Linked DNA regions of Elephas maximus indicus. The protein of the gene in region 2 purifies or fractionates together with the protein of the main gene of each other region. This does not show direct contact. Links are inferred from orthologs where the notes say so. Each region holds a gene or a part of one and is shown on either strand. Other genes may lie near its edges.

What was found.
Region 1: the proteins of POP7 (region 2) and RPP38 purify together in Homo sapiens (co-immunoprecipitation; 3 studies listed by BioGRID and IntAct, with this or other methods). This does not show direct contact. The link is inferred for Elephas maximus indicus from reciprocal best matches to the Homo sapiens genes POP7 and RPP38.

What each region holds. Positions count from the first base shown.
Region 1 is NC_064822.1:42,038,236-42,048,481, reverse strand, and holds the start of RPP38 (ribonuclease P protein subunit p38), read left to right. Parts: upstream 1-5,276; 5' UTR 5,277-5,407; exon of another isoform or gene 5,408-6,702; intron 6,703-7,795; 5' UTR 7,796-7,852; intron 7,853-10,246. UniProt on the Homo sapiens protein: Component of ribonuclease P, a ribonucleoprotein complex that generates mature tRNA molecules by cleaving their 5'-ends. Also a component of the MRP ribonuclease complex, which cleaves pre-rRNA sequences.
Region 2 is NC_064830.1:92,105,224-92,114,507, reverse strand, and holds POP7 (ribonuclease P protein subunit p20), read right to left. Parts: upstream 3,441-9,284; 5' UTR 3,272-3,440; coding exon 3,242-3,271; exon of another isoform or gene 3,196-3,241; intron 3,006-3,195; coding exon 2,583-3,005; 3' UTR 2,335-2,582; downstream 1-2,334. UniProt on the Homo sapiens protein: Component of ribonuclease P, a ribonucleoprotein complex that generates mature tRNA molecules by cleaving their 5'-ends. Also a component of the MRP ribonuclease complex, which cleaves pre-rRNA sequences.

The DNA.
Region 1 (10,246 bases), on a different chromosome or scaffold from region 2:
CTGTCAGACCAGTAAGTCTGGTCTTTTTTTTCTTTGTGAATTAGAATTTTGTTCTACATTTTTCTCCAGCTCTGTCCGGGACCCTCTACCATGATCCCTGTCAGAGCAGTCCGTGGTGGTAGCCGGGCACCATCTAGTTGTTCTGGACTCAGTCTGGTGGAGGTGGTGGTGGTTGAGGCCCATTAGTCCTTTAGAGTAATCTTTTCCTTGTGTCTTTGGTTTTCTTCATTCTCCCTTGCTCCAGATGGGGTGGGACCAGTGGAATATCTTAGATGGCCACTCACAAGCTTTTAAGACCCCAGATGCTACTCACCAAAGTAGGATGTAGGACATCTTCTTTATAAACTATGTTATGGCAATTGAGCTAGATGTTCCCCAAGACCATGGCCCCCAGGACTCAGCCCAGTAATTTGGCCCCTCAGAGTTTGGATGTGTCTACGACACTTCTATAACCTTGCCTTGGTCAAGTTGTGCTGGCTTCCCCAGTATTGTGTACCGTCTTACCCTTCATCAAAGTTGCCACTTACCTATTGTCTATTTAGTGTTTTCCCCTCCTCACCCATCACAACCCCTCACAACCATCAAAGATTGTTTCTTTCTGTGTGTAAACTCTTTCATGAGTTTTTATAATAGTAATCTCATATAATATTTCTCCTTTTGTGATTGACTTATTTCATTCAGCATAATGCCCTCTAGATTCATCCATGTTGTGAGATGTTTCACAGATTCATCGTTGTTCTTTACCGTTGCCTAGTATTCCACTGTGTGTATGTAGCATAGTTTGTTTATCCATTCCTTGATGAGCGCTTAGGTTGTTTCCATCTTTTTGCTATTGTGAATAATGCTGCAATGAACATGGGTGTGCATATATCTATTGGTGTGACGGCTCTTATTTCTCTAGGATATATTCCTAGGAGTGGCATTGCTGGACCATAGGATATTTCTATCTCTAACTTTTTAAGGAAGTGCCATATCATTTTCCAAATGGTTGTACCAGTTTGCATTCCCTGAAGTGATACTTTAAAGACTATTTTGAGAATCATGGAAAACGTTATATAGAAAGAAAAATAATATAAACTTTAATCTATATTAAGACTGTAAAAACACATAAATGTGAAATCAACTAGAAGGGAACACTGAAAGAAAATGTGTTTTGAGGTGATTGAATCATGTGAGAATTTAAAGATAAAACTTTTTTGTTGTAATGTTTGTACACTACAAATGGTAGAAAATATTATCTGAATTATAACTGTTCACTTTAGTTAACTTTATTGCCAGTCTTAAAATAGACAAGCAATAAAAGCAGAGAAGCCATAGTGAATTTTTTATTGACTGAATTCTTGGAAGGTTGTCACTGGATTCATCGTCACAGCTGTATATATCAAGCAGGAACTCTTCCAGGAGCCGTGCTAAGGATCTTACATAAATTACCTCTTCTAATCCTCACAGCACGTATTATTTTTATCACTTCACAGAGGAGGTTAATTAATTTGCCTAGGGTCATATGCCTAGTCAGTGGTGAAGTTAGGATTTCAGCCTAGGCAGGCTAGCTCCACAGCCATGGAATACAAGAGCTGGTAATTTTCATGGAAGGAGCCCTAGTAGTGCAGTAGTTAAGCACTCCGCTGCTAACCAAAAGGTCTGCAGTTTGAACCCACCAGCCACTCCGCGGGAGAAAGACGCAACAGTCTGCTTCTGTAAAGATTTACAGCTGTGGGAACTCTATGGGGCAGTTCTCAAAATGTGCTCCTGGACCCAGCAGCAGCAGCAGCATCTAATGCAGCCTTGGCTCCACTCCTGACGTTCTGAATCAGAGACTGTGGCTGGGCCCAGTGACAGGGCCAGAATCTGACCCGATGCAGTCTGCCTCTGGGGTCTGCATGGTTAACCACCACACTGTGTATTAAGGCAGTAAGATCTTAACACAGAGGAGGGGGAAGATCTGTACGCCTTTCTGTAGCTTCTTTCAATGGCTCACAGTAGGGGCAGTGCCATGCAGTAGCTACCAAACTTTTGGATTTAAAAGGCCAGTAAGATTTAACACAGTCCCTGGGTGGCTCAAATAGTTAAGCACTTGGCTGATAACTGAAAGGTCAGCAGTTCAAACCCACCAGCCACTTTGGCGGGGTGGGGCGGGGGGAAGATGTGGCAGTCTACTCCTGTAAAGAGTATATATAGCCTTGGAAACCCTATGGGGGCAGTTCTACTTTGTCCTATAGGGTTGCTGTGAGTCAGGATCGACTCAGCAGCAACAGGTGATCTTCATGGAGCAACTGTAAACTGAGATGATAAACTATCAGTCTGGAACCTTAAGGGGGATAACTGCATACCTATTTCCTTCCTATTACACTAACATTCCAATTAGATCTCTGCATCTCTATTTGTCTTACAGTTTAAAAGCTGAGGCTACTTTAGAACTGCATGATGTTTGTAGTTTATCATAACAATGAACTAACATGAGTCACTTTATGAAACAAAAGCCTGTTGTTATGCTCAAACTTGTAACTTTGATCTTTTCAATCTAATTGTGTTAAAAATCACATTGTACTCTACCCTGTGTATCCTGCAATAATCTTTGACCAAAGGCAACACAAGTTTTGGTTTTATTTTTCTGTTTACTTTATGGCCAGTTACGTACTACATAAAAAAAACCTAGCTGCCATCAAGTTCAAGTTCACTCTGACTCATGGCCGTTCCACATGAGTTAGAAGAGAACTGTACTCCTTTGGGTTTTCAATGGCTGATTTATTTTCTTTGGAAGTAAATGTGGGGGTGTTCTTCTTTCATTAACCGTTTGCACCACCTAGGGACTCCAAGTACTATGTAAACCAAAAAACAAACAAACAAAAAACCTTCCTAACCCATTGCAAGGGAGTGGATTCTGACTCAAAGTGACCCTATAGGATAGAGTAGAACCACCCCATAGGGTTTCCAAGGAGCTGCTGGTGGTGGAACTGCAGCCCTTTGTCAGTAGCCAGGCTTTTAACCACTGTGTTGTAAGGGCTCCATTTTACTATGCGGGTTGTGAGAATTAAAAATATAGAAACTAGACCAAAAAAGAGTAGTGAAGATGAGGCAGGGACAGAAGGCTGGAGAGCCTCAAGACCAGAATAACAGGCCCGTTGATCTGGGACTCTATCCTGTGGGTGATGTTACAAGAGAACCTACACATGCAGCCCGTGACGCACAAAGTCTTACATATCTCTCTCGTTTTTCAAGACCCCACTATAGGAGTGGCATCTTACATCTCTCTCTCAAATTGTTTTTCAGGACCCCAACATAGGAGTGGCATCCTGCATATCGCTCTTGTAAGTTTTTCAGGACTCTACCATAGGGTGGTATAGTGGTTAAGACGTACAGCTGCTAACCAAAAGGTTGGCAGTTCGAATCCACCAGGCACTCCTTGGAAACCCTACCGGTCAGTTCTACTCTGTCCTTTAGGGTTGCTATGAGTCGGTATCTACTCGATAGCAACGGGTTTACTATAGGGGATGATGTTACAAGATAACCCACTTCCGGGACTCTCATGAAGTTCTACGTACTTTCCCTACAAACTGTTTTCCAAAGATGAACAGAATCAGCCAATCCCCAGGGCATGCACAGTGAAAATGGGTACAACCTTACAGCCTTGTCAAGTGGCCACCGAGACTGTGCAGTGGTGATGTGACATCGTCCAAACTGACTCCACCGTGGATTCCAGATGCGCACCCACCTAATTTCTTAACCTATTTGTCCTAGAGGGTCGCTCGACGGCACTGGGTTTGGGTTATTTCTCAGAAAGCCCCGCCTTCCCCCCCCCCAAAGCAATGAATAAAACATGAGCTCCTTTCTGCCTAAAGCCCTTTATAACTCCAGGAAAACCTCCGTTCAGGGAGAGACTGGAGGCTAGCATAGGCAGAAGCTCCTCTCCCCTCCTCGCTCGCGAGCCTCTGCTTTCTGTCACTAATAAACCTTTATTCATGTGGAACCTCTGAGCCTCTCCTGGTCACTCACGGTCAGTAGAAGGCAAGAACCTAGGCAGGACTTGATTCCAAGCTGGGAAACCTTGCCCTGCGACAAAGAGATTGAAGAAAGGAGCAGGATATATAGAACAGGAAAAGGAAGGGGCCCAAATTAGAGCGGAACAGAAAAAGAAGGGGTATAGAAGCTTTTTAGGCCAGAAGCAACCTACTGTCTTCTACGTTCTAGCGAAGGGTAGATCAAGAGGTTCTGATCACTGACCGTTAAAGTGTTAATCAGCTGTTTTACCAATTCCTGACTTCCCAGCGACTCCATTCCTGACCGCTGAGTTCTCTGTTGGTTGGAGCAGCCACAGTGAACATTGGGAGGAATATTCTGAACTGCCTTTCAATTACTCAGAGCAGCCCTTATTCTCCTCTCTTTAAGGTGGCTCAAGATTCTCCACATTGTTATCTGTAAACCACCTCCTCAATTTATCTTGCTTTTCTTGTTCACAGGGATTAGGCAGGGATTCGATGGAGACTGGCTCAGTGGGACAGGCAAGGACTGGGGTTTTGGGTGTCGCGTCCATTCCCACTCATAGGGACCCTACAGGACAGAGTAGAACTGCCCGATAGGGTTTTCCAGGCTGTAAATCTTTACCGCAGCAGACTGTTACATCTTTCTCCTCCAGAGGCTGATGGGCTCTGGTGGGTTGGAACCGCCAATAGCCGCAGAGCGCTTAACTACTGCGCCACCAGGACTCATCACATCTCTTGCAAAAACAAACCCGTTGCCATCGAGTTGATTCCTATTCATAAACCCACCTATTCATAAAAAAGCGACCCTATATTGATCCTGTCGGACAGAAGTCTCATAGGGCTTGCAAGGCTGTAATCTTTATTTACCAAAGCAGACGGCCATATCTTTCTCCCCTGGAGCAGCCTACGGCTTTAACCACTGAGTCACCAGGGCTACCCTCCGTCTCTGAGGCAAGCCTAGGCAAGACAAATACAGAAAAGCGAGAAGAGATAGTGCGCTCAGATTTATGGGCGCTGTAAAGTTCGAATCTGCCAGGCGCTCCCTGGAAACTCTATGGGGCAGGTCTACTCTGTTCTATAGGGTCGCTATGAGTCGGAATCGACTCGACGGCACTGGGTTTCAGGTAGAACTTGGGTTAGAAGAAAGAAGGTGCCAAGGCGACAAAAGATGCCCTGAGGGACTTTCATCCATAAAAACATTCACTCAAAAGCCACAGAGCAGTCGAGACGGCGATTACGTTACCGTAGCAACCGGAGGGTATCGCGAGACAAATATCGCGCCTGCGCACTGCCGGTTCAAGGCACGGCCGGGAGGTTTCACCGCCGGGCCGACTTTCAGGCGTTTGTAGGCTGCCTTTCGCTTTGTCGCTTCCGCGTCACGCTGCTCTTTGGACCTACTTTCCCCATTGGGAGTGGTTTAACTCAGGGTAATGAAATTCGAAGATTATTTTAGCGATTCTGCAGCGCCCCATTTGTAAGGCGGGGCCTGAGAAAAGGCGAGCGCTTTGTGCACACGCATCGCGGCCAGTTTGTAGCCGCAGCCCTCGCGAGCCGGTGGCCGCGCTGTCGCCATCTTGATTTGGCGCTGGGGAAGGGGCACGGAGAGGAGGTAAGAGGGCCGGTCTAGGGTGGGATCGAGCTTGTGCCCACCCCCAGCTGACACGCAAAGTGTCTACGGCTTTCTCGGACGCCCGTCGCGCCGCCGCTGCGCCCGCCCGCCTTCCCGGACTGGCTTCTCTCGCCCGGGGCGAGCTATCCTCACTCTGCCTGGAATATCTCCCCCCAAACCTGTGTGGAGGATCTGTTGGATACTAGGAATGGAAAGATAAAACGCGACCCTAGCCTTTCAGTCCTACACAGTTTGGAAATAGAGACGACAAAAAAATAATTACAGTTCCTTATGCTAAGTGGTAAAGTAAGGAGCCCTGGTGGCGCAGTGGCTAAGCGTTGGGCTGCTAGCCGAAAGGTCAGCAGTTCTAACCCACCAGCCTCTCTCGTTCTGCAGGAGAAAGATGGGGCAGTGGCCTTCCATAAAGAGTAGTCTTGGAAACCCTACGGGGCAGTTCTGCGCTGTCCTGCAGGGGTCGCTATGAGTCGGAATGGGCTCCACGGTACACCACGACAACAAATAAAGTAGGAAGGTACCAGGTACAGTGGCGGCATATACTCGGGAGGATCAACTCTTAGGAATTCAGCGATTGAGAACTGGTGCCATCATCCCTTCAGTTAGAGTTATGTCCTTCCTTAGTAGATCAGTAGGTTGAGTAGGTTTTACCCCGTATTTCAACTAGCATGTATTTCTCACCATTCACTCTGCGGCAGCTCCAGTGCAGGCCACCATCCCTATTTCTTACCTGGCCTACTCCCATAGCCTCTTTGCTGCTTCTAGTCTTGTACGCTTCCAGGCTGTCCTTTGCCCTGAATCACAGAAGTCTCCTTGTAACACCGTTCTAGTCATGCTGTTCCTCTGCTTTAAACGTGACAGTCACTTCCCACTGCAAGGCTTGCAGGGGTCCTCACCATCTGTTCTTACCTGCCTTACCTAATACCTCACCACTTTCTCCACCTTCTCTGCTACAGTGATGTGGTTTCATTTCCTTTAATGCTGTTCCCTGGAAAACCATTTTCTACTTCCTACTCCCTTTGGTTTTTTTTTTTTTTTTACTCCCTTTGGCAGGTATTCTTCAGATACAGGGTAAAAGGTCACTTCTGACCCTCTAAAGTAAGTTTTTTTTTTTACTCCCTTTGGTTTTTTTTTTTTTTTTAACTCCCTTTGGCAGGTATTTTTCAGATATAGGGTAAAAGGTCACTTCTGACCCCCTAAAGTAAGTTGTTAGTTGCTGGCTTGACGACCCCATGTGTGCAGAGTAGAACTGTGTTATGTAGGATATTCAAGGCTGTGACTTTTTGGAAGCAGCTCACCAGGACTGTCTTCTGTGTTGTCTCTGGGTGGCTTTCAACCACCATCCTTTAGGTTTGTAGTTAGGCGCTTAACTGCTTGTGCCACCCAGGGACTAGCAAGTTAAGTTAGGCCTGTTACACGTTCTTTTAGCTTCTGTTGTTCCCTAATTTATTATTACCTGTTTGACATGTCTTCTTCATAGACTCTAAGCTCAGTGAGGTCAGTGCCTGTACTTACCTGTTTAATACTTTATGGCCTGGTGCATTGTGGATAATCTATAAATGTTTAAGAAAGCGGTCACTGGGGTGAGGATGGGAGTGGTATTCCCGGCAGAGGGGATAATTCAAATAAAGGCATGGTTGTGAGAAACTCTTGGCCTCATTAAATAGTATGTGATTCAGTGTTGGGGTGTAATGTGCATGGTGGGACATACGGAGAAAAGCTGGTGGGGAGACAGGGCCAGAGTGTGGAGGGCCTTGAACATCACCTTAAGGAGTTTGTAGTTGATCCTATAAGTAGTAGAGACCTCCAAAACATAGCTTAAAAGACACCTGAGGGAGGCTTTCCCATTTCACTCCCTTTCTCCAAAGCTGTTACTTTATCAGTACAGGTGTCCCCAGCTTATAATGTATTCAAGTTATGACAAACTGCACTTATGACCGTCTTATTTTTTTAATCATTAGTAATACGTACTACATACAGTGTTGTAGATTGGAATTATAAAGATACTGATGATAAAAGGCGGTAATAATGAAAAAAAAAGAGGTATTTAACTTAAGCCAGAACTGATTTACCAGAGTCGTAGGAATGGAACCCTGTCATAAGTCAAGGACTACCTGTGCTTTGTTCTTGGATTATGTTGTATGAGACTCTTATTATTCTAACAACCTGGATCTCTTTGTCTCCACACTAGATTTTGAAGACAGGAGGAGTTAATATATATCTTGCTATCCCTCCAGAGCACAAGACTGTAAGTACCAACCCCGTGTTGTTCGAATGCTGAGATGTATTAACTGACCTGCAGTTTGGCAGGAGCTATATTAACATATGTCTGGCCACTCAGTCATTTATTTCCCTGTTCTTGACCATCTTCAATGTGATGCCAGCCTCTGCCAACCAGTATATTGGCTTTGGATGAGCTGCTTTTCTTCCTGATTCTCTGAGCTTGAGGGGGAGCAGGGAGTAGAGGTGGGGAGAATGGGGAGGACTGTACAGTTAGGCTGGTGTGAAGGCAGCAGAGATACTGGGTGCCTGTTATTGTTAGTTGCCGTTCAGGTTGGCCCCCGACTCACGGTGACCCCATACACAATGGGATGAGATCCACAGGGTTTTCACTGGCTAGTTTTCAGATCAGCAGGCCTTTCTTCCTCGTTCATCTTAGTCTGGAAGCTATGCTGAAACTTGTTCAGCATACGAGCAATACACAAGCCTCCGTCAACAGATGGCAGTGGCTGTACTTGAGGTGCACTGGCCTGGAATCAAATTCAGCGGGTAATACTGACACAAATGAGGTTTCATTTCTAACCCCAAGGAGCTGAATTTTGGTTTTCTGTGAGAAAGTAACTAGGAGGAACATCGGAGACCAGTAGAGGTGGGGTGACCATTTCTCAGGGCTGTCACATGGGGAAAAGGTAGCCTGTCCGACACCAGTGACTCCTAATTATGGTTCTCAAGTTCACTTGGGAAGCATTTTTACAAGTACAGATACCCTGGTCCCATCCCCGAGAGATGGCAATTCAGTGGATCTGGGGTGAGGACCAGCTATCTGTTTGCTTTTAAAAGCCACAAATGATTTTTGAGGTGCAGTTAGTGTTGAAAGAGCATAAAATTTGTATTTGGAAAACTAGTGACTTTGGGCAAGATATTTAACCTGAGACTGTTTCCTCACCCACACATTGAGGATTCTGTAAGAATTCTGTGAGAGTCAAATAGTACGTGGGGAAAGTGCCTTATAAATTCTGGCTCACTCCACAGGCACTTGTTCTTCAACCTCAGTATCCAGCCTGGTAAGTGGAAATTTAACTGGAGAGGACTTAATCCTGCATGGGGTACTTAGGGGAGGGCAGGCCTAGGTGGGATAATGACCTGGAACGAGGGAGCATCAGTCATCTGGTTCCCAGAAAACAGGGACTGTTCCCCACACTCTAGACTTTTCCAGGTCAGCTTGTTTAAATTCCTTTAGTTCTGCCAAGTGCGCCCCTCTGGTTCTCAGCCAAGTCCCTGGAAGGAGAGGAAGAAAATTCAGGAAAGAAAATGGTCTATGCAGTTGCCTCTGGGATAGATAAACAGGACACACTCCCTAGACCAGTGGTTAATAACATTTTCTCCCATAAGGATCCCTTTTATTATTACTCTTATTTTTTCTTAATGGATTACTATCTTTAAAATTTTATTATTAAGTTTCCCTAGTTTAGTCAACTGCCAGGCAGAACAATGAGCTTGGAATAAGCATAGGAAAGAAGGACATGTCCATCTGTCTCAGTGTTTTGGGAAGGATATACAAGAAACAGTGATGCACTTGTGGAGGTGGCCTGGGGTCCAGGGAGGAAGAGATTTGTAATAACAAGGGCACAGAATGAGAGTGTTTGGATTTTTAATTGTGTACGTGTATTACTGTCCCAGTGTCTTAAACAGTCATACCTGGTAATTATGAATGGCAAAGGGTCTTCAGGAGTCCTGGCGCCCCAAGTGGTTAAGTGCTTAGCCGCTAACTGAAAGAAGGGCAGTTCATTCCTATCTAGCAGCTCCATAGGAGAAAGACCTGGCAATTTGCTCCTGTGAAGATTCCAAACCCACTGCTGTTGAGCTGATTCCAACTCATGGCAACCCTACAGAACAGAACTGCTCCATAGGGTTTCTAAGGCTGTAAATCTTTACAGAAGCAGACTGCCACATTTTTCTCCCCCAGAGTGGCTGGTGCGTTTGAATTACCAACCTTTTGGTTAGCAGCTCAGCACTTAACCACTGTGCCACCAGGGCTCCTCCATGAAGACTACAGCCTAGAAAACTCTATGAGGCAGTTCTACTCTGTCACATGGGGCAGTATGAGTCGAAATTGACTCGACGGCATGTAACAACAACAAAGGTCTCTGTGGTCCTCAGATTGTGAGCTCTGCGCAGTGACTTGTTCGCCGCTGAAAGTATCTACAGTGCTGCCTGCCCTTCGCAGGCACTCATTGAGTAGTTGTTGAATGAATGAAAATCCAACTAGAGAGCAATTTAGAAAGTGATAACAAATCTTTAAGATTAATGCCATACAGCCGCCAAAAGGATAATTGTGAACAAGTAGAAACATGGAACATTTTTAATAAGTGAAATGAACAAATAGAATTTCAGTCTGATTTCAATAATGTAAAACATACTA
Region 2 (9,284 bases):
GCCATCAAGTCGATTCTAACTCATAGCAACCCTATAGGGCAGAGTAGAACTGCCCCACAGAGTTTCCAAGGAGTGCCTGGTGAATTTGAACTGCCGACCTTTTGGTTAGCTGCCTTAGCACTTAACCACTATGCCACCAGGGTTTCCATTGGGTCCTCAATAAACGCTTACGGATGGCAAGCAAATGTCTATACTCTCCTCCAACCTAAGAATTTGGATTTGAGTTCTGGCCTCTGGCGATCAGTTTCTGAAGTAGGAGGTCATTTCCCACTCATTGTGGGGTCTGCAACTGTTGAGTAAAAAGAAGGGCGGGGAACTGCATTTGGACACAACCCTTACCTCCATCCCCTTCCTCTGTGTCCCCAAGCTTTGATGGAAGTCACTTCAGAGAACCAGTAGACCGGAGAGGAACAGAGGCTGCAGTGGGCCTCCCTACAGAGAAGCGGGATTCCCTGCCCTCCCACCTCACATGGACTGCAGGGGATCAGAGACCCTTCCCACACCCCCTACCCACCCCCACATAGTATAGGGTGAAACCCAGACCCTCTCTTCCAGTGGCAACATCTAGTGGCTGTTTTTGCAGACCTGCCACTGAGGGAAGCCCCACTGGCAAGCAGTGAGTGAACATGGAGTAGAAACAACAAAAACTCTGGGAGAGGGAGCTGCCAAAACAAACCAAATGCAAAAGGGCTGCTTGCCACCACCTCAGCTGGGCCCAGGCCAGGAGCACAGACAGACAAGAACACATACGTGCAAAGAGACACATAGTTCCACCCGGCTCCCTGCTGAATCCCCACTCTGCTACTGGGGGGCTCCAAAGCAAGGGAGCCCTGCAGTCAAGGCTGATGCGGGGGGAGGAGGTGGCCTCATAGAGATCTCTCCAGCCTTGTCTCCCTCAAGCGTCCCCAGTGCCTCCTGCTTTCTAGCCACCCTGAGTGTCCTTTCAGTCCCAGAAAACATCCTGAACCCTCACGTTTGTGCATGCTGATTCCTCTGCCAGATATGCCCTCTCCCTTCTCTGCCTGGCGAACTCCTATTCATCCTTCAATACTCAGGTCAAAGGTGAAATGTGGACCCCACTAGGCAGGTGGCTGTTTCCTTCTCGGTATTTCTACATCATGGCTACCTGTACTTTTTATATTACACACTTCACTCATTCACAAAAATTGTGTGTCCATCTTCCCTATTAGATGGTGAGCTCCTTGAAGGCAGGGATCATGCCATCTTATACTCATCTTTGTATCCCAGACCCCAGCTCACGCCTTGTTCACAGCTGGCACTCACCATGGGTTCAGCTGTATGAATGAAGCACTGGTCCTTCTGCAGAGTCTGCTTTCCCAAGTTGCTGGCAGTCACAGACCCCACATGAAAGTCCCTCATCAACAGTAATACACAAGGCAGAGGAGTAAAGGTGAAAAATTAGGAGCCTGATCTTCAGACTTCAGAACCAAACTACCTCCAAGAACACTAGAGTTAATACACCATTACTAACCTTTAGATCAGAGTTGTCAAGCTCTTATGACCTTAATCAACAGTAAAAACAATTTACATCATGACTAGTACACATATGTACTTATAAACATACGCAGATGCAACTGAAAAAGCTGCATCAAAACACCACTTGCCCTTTTCATTTCTTTAAATAGGCTGTGATCCAGTAAATCTATTTCAAGACCCACAAATGGGTCACTGCTCAGTTTAATAAACATTGCTTTAGATGACTCTTGTTTGATAAATGTGAAAAATCAGAGGACTCCAGAAATAGCCAAACAAAAAAGTATTTACTACCTGTGTGCCCAGTAATTATTTTGGGGGGGAAGGGTGGGGGAGGTTCCCTTTCTTCTACCGTAGCCCAGAAGGGCCTGACAGGCTCTAGACCACAGCTGCTCAGAATATGGGCCCTACAGCTCCAGGAACTAAATGAAGCAGTTGGTCCTTCCCCACCAGAGCCTGGCACAAAGAAGGCCCCAACAGTCTTAACATTGCCTCCTTCATCCTTAAACCCTTTTCTGTGCTTGGGAACCATGATCATATCACCAGAGAGGAGTGGCCAAATGCTTCCCAAGCATACAACCATCCCAGCTGCATTTCAGTGGGTGAGCATATGCTTCCTCCTGGCCTTCCTGGAAGGAGGAAAAATCTTAAAGCAAACATTGGGATTGCCAGGCTGCTGCATCTTGTACTAGTCTGTTTTATGTTACACGGTCGCTAATACAATTTATGCTTTCTGTGAAGGCAGGGACCATCTGGGTTTGCCTTCTGTGGCTAAACCCTCGTAAAGTTTCCTGCTCTTCCCTTCCAGGTACTCACAGGGAAGAGGCAGTAGCAGTGGGGTGGCAGGACACTAACACAACTTGGTACATTTTATTGTGTCAGATAATGGTTTACAGACCACAGAGACTCAAGATAACACCCTGCAGGAGCCCAACAAGAGACCACGCCCTCCCTCTCAATTCAGTCCTTTGGGCTGTGAGGGACTAGGCCTTTTCTGGAGGTCCATGACAGTACTCGGTACAAGGAGGGTCACATCTGAGCCTGGCTGTAGAGGTGGTGGGTGGATACGAGGTCCACCTTCCCTTCTGTTACTTGGGTGTGACCCTGAAGACACGGATATGGATGGCTGAGTTGTTGCGGATGCGGACTAGCGGTTCGCGTGTATCAGTTTCTGGTTCCAGCTCATCCACAAGCTCCACGGTGGAGGTATTGGCGGCCACCTCCAAGGACCCGAAGCTGCCTGCCTGCAGCTGCAGCGCAATGTTGATGGCGCGATTGATGGCTAGGCCTAAGCCGTGGATATACAGCTCATTGCAAGCGTTCTGACCCCGTGTCCCTCCGTTCAGCAGCTTCTGGCAGCGGGCCAATTGGGCCTTGAAATCAGTCTTCATGTTGACGTAGATGTCATTGGGCCTCCGGGGCAGGCGGTGGGGAAGCCGCTTCCGAAGGGTGTACTCCACTGGGTCCAGCTCCACCTCGACGGCTCCTCGGTTTTCTGCCATCTGTGTGCCCTGGCACGGGAAAGGGGCGGGATCAGAGATGGGTCACCAGCAGCTACGAAGCCGTTCCTACCCCGAGGATGCACCCGGGAGAGGCGCACATGACGTCCCTTTCCCTCCAGCCTCAGTCCCCTCCCACTTACCACAAGCTCCTGTAACCCCCCCACCCCCAGTTCTTATTCATTCATTACATCGCCCCAACCTCACGCCCCTCCAACGTTCCCCTTCCCCGGCTCTTCCGCGCCTACTCTCTTCGTTCCACAGTACCCTCCAAGCATACGCTGCCCGCTCTCAGCCGGGCCACTCAAAGGTTACGCCGACCCGCCCAAGTAGAGGGCGCTGCCCGCAACACGCAAGCCGCAAAGAAACGAAGAGAAGGGAAGAGGCGCGCAACACGCACGCCAGGTGGCAGGCGCCCCGTCGGCAAAGGGCTGCGCAGTGCGCATGTGCCCCCGGCCCCCGCGCGCGGCAGGCCAGCGAATCCACGAATCCTCTTCTCTCTCTCTCCCGTCTCCCCGCCCCTTTTCTGGCTATCGCGGGATGTGTTTGAGTAACGCGAGGCTTCCGGGGGGGAGATGGGATCTACCACGTGTACACTTCGAAGGCGGGGCGGGGAGGGAAGGGGAGTGTCCCAAGACTAAGCGGGGGCGGGACTAGAAGGGGGAGGGCCAGCTTCTCCAGGCGAGACTACACTCCCGGTTCAGCAGGGGTCCCAACCGGGGGCAGAGGAGAGACGAGGGGATTTTAGGAGCGCGGAGGGTGGGTTTCTTCCCAAAGATCGCAGGGAGGGGGGTGAGTACAGGAGAATGTGGTTGTGAAAGCGCCTGAAGGCAAGTCGGGGCAGTCCGATGTGGGCAGAGTTGGCAGAGCTGACCTCCGATCCAAGGTCCGCTATGGCCCAAAGACGGGCGGTGGGGGTGGGGGGGATTTAGAGTCAAAGCCAGGTCCCTACCTGGCCGGAGGACACCGGCCCGGAACTACCCCTAGGATTCATGGGTACCTGTTCCTCTTCGTTATTTTTGTCGGGCTGACTCCCAGGCCAGTCCTTGGGGCCCCAAGCTGAAAGCCGTAAGCCAAGGCTTCACTCCGATCTGGTCTTCGAATTCGGAGGGGTCAGGACGGTTCCCCGGGGGCACGCTGACCCACCCACATCCCTTAACCACCGCCCACTGGCTCTTTGCTGCCTGCGACTGGGGAGCAAGGATGTGCGCCCCCTGGCGGAGGAGGTGGGAAGCAGCGCGGGGGATTCTTGGCTCCCCAAGGCCAGTGGGAAGGGTTTTCTGTCCCTGGGGGTGGTTTCTCTGCCCAGATCAGTGTAGTTTCTGGAGCGTTCTCAGCAGAAAGAGCGCTGATATTGGGTTAGACCTGCACTGAGCACCCTGAATGGAGCTCTGCTTGAATTCCCCATCACCGAAATGGGAGTGATAATTCCTGTCCTGCCATTGAGTTGCTCCAAAACTCAGTATAACTTTGAAAACTGTAAGCATACACATGTGAGTTAGCATTTTTGACCCCCAGCCCCTCTCTGTTTGCTCAGGATGGTGTCAACCCCCATTTGACCAGATGTTGGAAAGAGGTCAAATTCCTGAAAACTTTGTTCCCAGCACTCTTTCAATTCTGTAATTCTCCTTTTGGTTCAGATTCTTTTGCTAACCACAAACTTGGAGTTTATGCAGTGGGGAGAGCTGGGAGGAAAGGTTGGCTCCAGAACTTATGCTCTTGGCTACAACACTATTCTGCCTCAGAAGTAACATCCCAACAGGGTTTTGATGGATAAGTAGGAGTTCAGGCAACCAAGGAGTTTAAGTGCATTCAGGAAACACTGAACAGCATTTTAAGAACAGTGGAAGCATAATCTAAGGTTCCACGTCAAGAAACTAGAAAACTAAAGTCAAAGCAAGAAGATAGAAATAATAAAGATAAGAGCATAGTGACATAGAAAACAGAAAATAGACAAAATCAACCCAAAATCTGGTCCATTGAAAAGATAAGGAATATTGATAAACCTCTAGCAAAACCAATCAAAAAAAAAAAAAAAAAGAGAAGCCACAAATTATGATCAGAATTGAAAGAGGAAGATAGTACTAAAGTTCTCTTAGCCATTAAAAGGATACTAAGGAAATAAGGAGGAAACCCTGGTGGCATAGTGGTTAAGTGCTACGGCTGCTAACCAAAGGGTCGGCAGTTCGAATCCACCAAGCGCTCCTTGGAAACTCTACGGGGCAGTTCTACTCTGTCCTATACGGTTGCTATGAGTCGGAATCGACTCAATGGCACTGGGTAAGGAAATAAGGAGCTCTGGCAGCACAGTGGTTAAAGCACTCAGTTGCTAATCAAAAGGTCAGTGGTTGGAACTCACCAGCTGCCCCGTGGCCTTGGAAACCCAATGGGGCAGCTCTGCTCTGTCTGACAGGGTTGCTAGAAGTTGAAATTGACTCCACAGCAATGGGTTAAGGGAATACACCCACTCCTCACTTGCTGACCTGGATGGGTTCCAAAGACCGGGTCGTTATTGCAAAAATAGGCATTACTTGAAAATGGAGGCAGACTACATCATTATGTAACTGCTAAGTTACATCATTACATAATTATCAAACCACTGAGAAGCATGCGTGGCCCAGCCAAGTTGACTCATGACCATCACAGGCAGTATTAGTCTCGCCTTGTACTTCACATTCGTTACTGCCAGATGTACATCCTTAATGTGCAAAATAGATAGATTTTTTACTATTATCATAAAAGCAAAGTGTTGGATAATGACATAGTCGATACTAAGGAGTTGGTGTAATATAAACAATTCTCCGAACACAAATTGAACAACTTATATGAAACGGTCCAATTTTTAGAAAACCACAAACTACCAAAACTCATCCAAGATAAAACAGATAATCTGAACAGTCCTATAACTATTAATTAAATCCATAGTTAAAAACCCTCAGAAAAAGAAATACCAAGGCACAGATGGTTTCACTGGTGAATTCTACCAAAAGAAGAAATAACATAAATTCCGCACAATCTCTGCCAGAAAATAGAAGAGGTGGGAACACTTGCCAACTCATTTTATGAAGCCAAACCAGACAAAGAGTACAAAAAAAGAAAACTACAAACTGATATCTCTCATGAACAAAGACACAAAAATCTTCAACAACATGTTAGCAAATCAAATCTAGCAATATATAAAAAGAGCTATACGCACCACTGGAACCCCTGGTGGCATAGTGGTTAAGTGCTACAGCTACTAACCAAAGGGCCAGCAGTTCGAATCTGCCAGGTGCTCCTTGGAAGCTCTATGGGCCAGTTCTACTCTGTCCTATAGGGTCGCTATGAGTCAGAATTGACTCCACGGTACTGGGTTTGGTTTTTGGATACACACCACCAAGTGGGGTTTATTCCAGGAATGCAAGACTGGTTCAATATAAGAAACTAAATCAATTTAATTCACCATGTTAACAGGCTAAGGAAGAAAAACCACATGATTATATCAGTTGTTACAGAAAAACCATTTAACAAAACTCAGCACCCGTTCGTGGTAAAAACTCTCAGCAAACAAGCAACAAAAGGAATTTCGCCAGCCTGGTAAAGAGCATTGACAAAGTTAACATCATGCTAATAATGAAAGACTGAAAGCTTTTCTCTTAAAATCAGAAACAAGGCAAGGATGTTTTCTCTTACTACTCTTAACCAACATAGTGTTGGAAGTCCTAGCAGTGCAATAAGGCAAGAAAAGGATACAGATTGGAAAGAAAGAAATGAAACTGAATCTATTTGCTTATGACATGATTGTATACATTAAAAAATTCTAAGGAATCCACCAAAAGAAAAACTCCTAGAACTGGTAAATGATTATAGCAAGTTCACAGGATCCAAGATCAACTACAAAATCAATTGAATTTGTATACATCAGCAATGAACAATTGGAAACTGAAATAAAACAATACAATTTACAATCACTCCAAAAGAAGAAGGAGGAAGAGGAGGAGAAATACTTAGGTATAAGACTAACAAAACATGTACAACATCTGTATGCTGAAAACTACAAGACACTGATGAAAGAAAAAAGATCTAATTAAAGGAAGAGGTATGTCATATCTATGTATTGGAAGACACAACATAGTAAAGACACTGATTCTTCCAAGCTGATCTGTAGATTTAATGCAATTCCTATAAAAATTCCTGCAAGAGTTTTTGTAGGTATAGACAAGCTTATTTAAAATTTTACATGGAAAGGCAAGGAAGTAAAATAGCTAAAACAATTTTGAAAAACAAAGTTGTTGTACTCACACTACTTGATTTTAAGACTTACTATATAAACACAATAATCAAGACAGAGTAGTGGGATAGAAAGAAACATCCGTGGAACCAAATAGAGAACCCAGAAACAGACTTATACAAGTACAGCCATCTGATTGTTGACAATGGTGCAAAAGCAACTCAATGGAGGAAGGATAGTCTTTTCAACAAATGGGGCTGAAGCAACTGGACATCTATAGCAAAGAACTGAACCTCGACCCTATACAAAAATTAACAAAAAAGTGGTAGTATATCTAAATATAAAACTTAAAAGTATAAAATTTGCAGGAAAAAGCATAGGGGAAAAAAATCTTCATGACCTAGGCTCAGGCTAAGAGTTCTTAGACATGATACCAAAAGTTTTTTTTTTTTTCTTTTTCATAGAAGCAAAAAGTTGGTAAGTTGTACTTTATCAAAACTAAATCATATGCTCTGTGAAAGACCACATTAACAGGATGAAGAGACAAACCACAGACTAGAAGAAAACACTCACAAATCACGTATCTGACAAAGGACTTGTACCCAGAATATATAAAGAACTTTCTAAACCCAAGAGTAAGAAAACAAACAATCCACCAGAGATGTGAAAGACTTATACAATGAAAATTATAAAACACTGCTGAAAGAGGTTAAAGAAGATTTAAACAAACGGGAAGTTGTTCCATGTTCATGGATTGGAAGACTTAATATTATTAAGATGTCAATACTACCTGTGATGGTTACTCTTATGTGCCAACTTGGCTAGGCTATTATTTTCAGTGGTTTGGCAGATACTGTGTACTGTAATCACTTTCCACTCTGTGATCTGATGTGAGCAGCCGATCAGTTGAAAGGGGAGTTTACCTGGGGGTGTGGCCTGCCTCCACTATATAAATGGACTTCTGGTAAAACTGTCTGTCTCTCAATCCTGCACTCTTCTCATTGCCTGACCTCCGGTTCTTGGGATGTAAGCCTTAAGAAGTCTCTGGCCTCCTAGCCAAAGCAGTAAGACAAGAAAAACAAATAAAAGGTATCCAGATTGGAAAAGAAGAAGTAAAATTATCTCTGTTTGCAAATGATATGATCCTATATATAGAAAATCCCTATGAGTCCGCAAGAAAACTTCTAGAGCTAACAGAGGAATTTAGCAGAATTGCACGGTACAAGGTCAACAAACATAAATCAGTGGGGTTTCCATCCACCAGCAATGAGAAATCTGAAAGGTAAATTAGGGAAACAATTCCATTTACAATAACATTTAAGAGAATAACTAGAAATAAATTTAATCAGGGATGTGAATGATTTATACAAAGAGAAGTATAAAACACTGCTGAAAGAGGTTAAAGAAGACTTAAATAAATGGAAAGATGTTCCATGTTCACGGATTGCAAGACTTAATATTTTCAGATGTCAATACTACCCAAAGTGATCTATGCGTTCAACATAATCCCGATCAAAATTCCAACAGCCTTCTTTACAGAAATGGAAAACCAACCCTGAACTTTATGTGGAATAGCAAGAGGCCCCAAATAGTGAAAGCAATGTTGCAAGAGATGAACAAAGTATGAGGACTCACACTTCCTGATTTTAAAACTTTTCTATACAGCTACAGTAATCAAAAAAGTCTGGTACTGGTATAATGATAGGCACGTAGACAAATGGAATAGAATTGAGAGTCTAGAAATAAACTCACACATTTATGGTCAACTGATTTTTAACGAGGGTGCTAAGTCCATTCAATGGGAGAAAGAAGAGTCTCTTTAATAAATGGCACTGGGAAAATTGGATTTCCACACGCAGAAAAATGAAACAGGATATGTTTCACACCATATGCAAAAAGAAATTCAAAATGGAATAAACTAAATGTACAAACTAAAACCATAAAATTCTCAGAAGAAAATGTAGGGGTGATGCTGTTGGGCCTAGCTTTTAACAACGGACTATCTAATAGCAAAAGCACAAACAGCAAAAGACAAAATAAATAAATGGAATCTCATACAAATGAAAAACTTTTGTTCATCA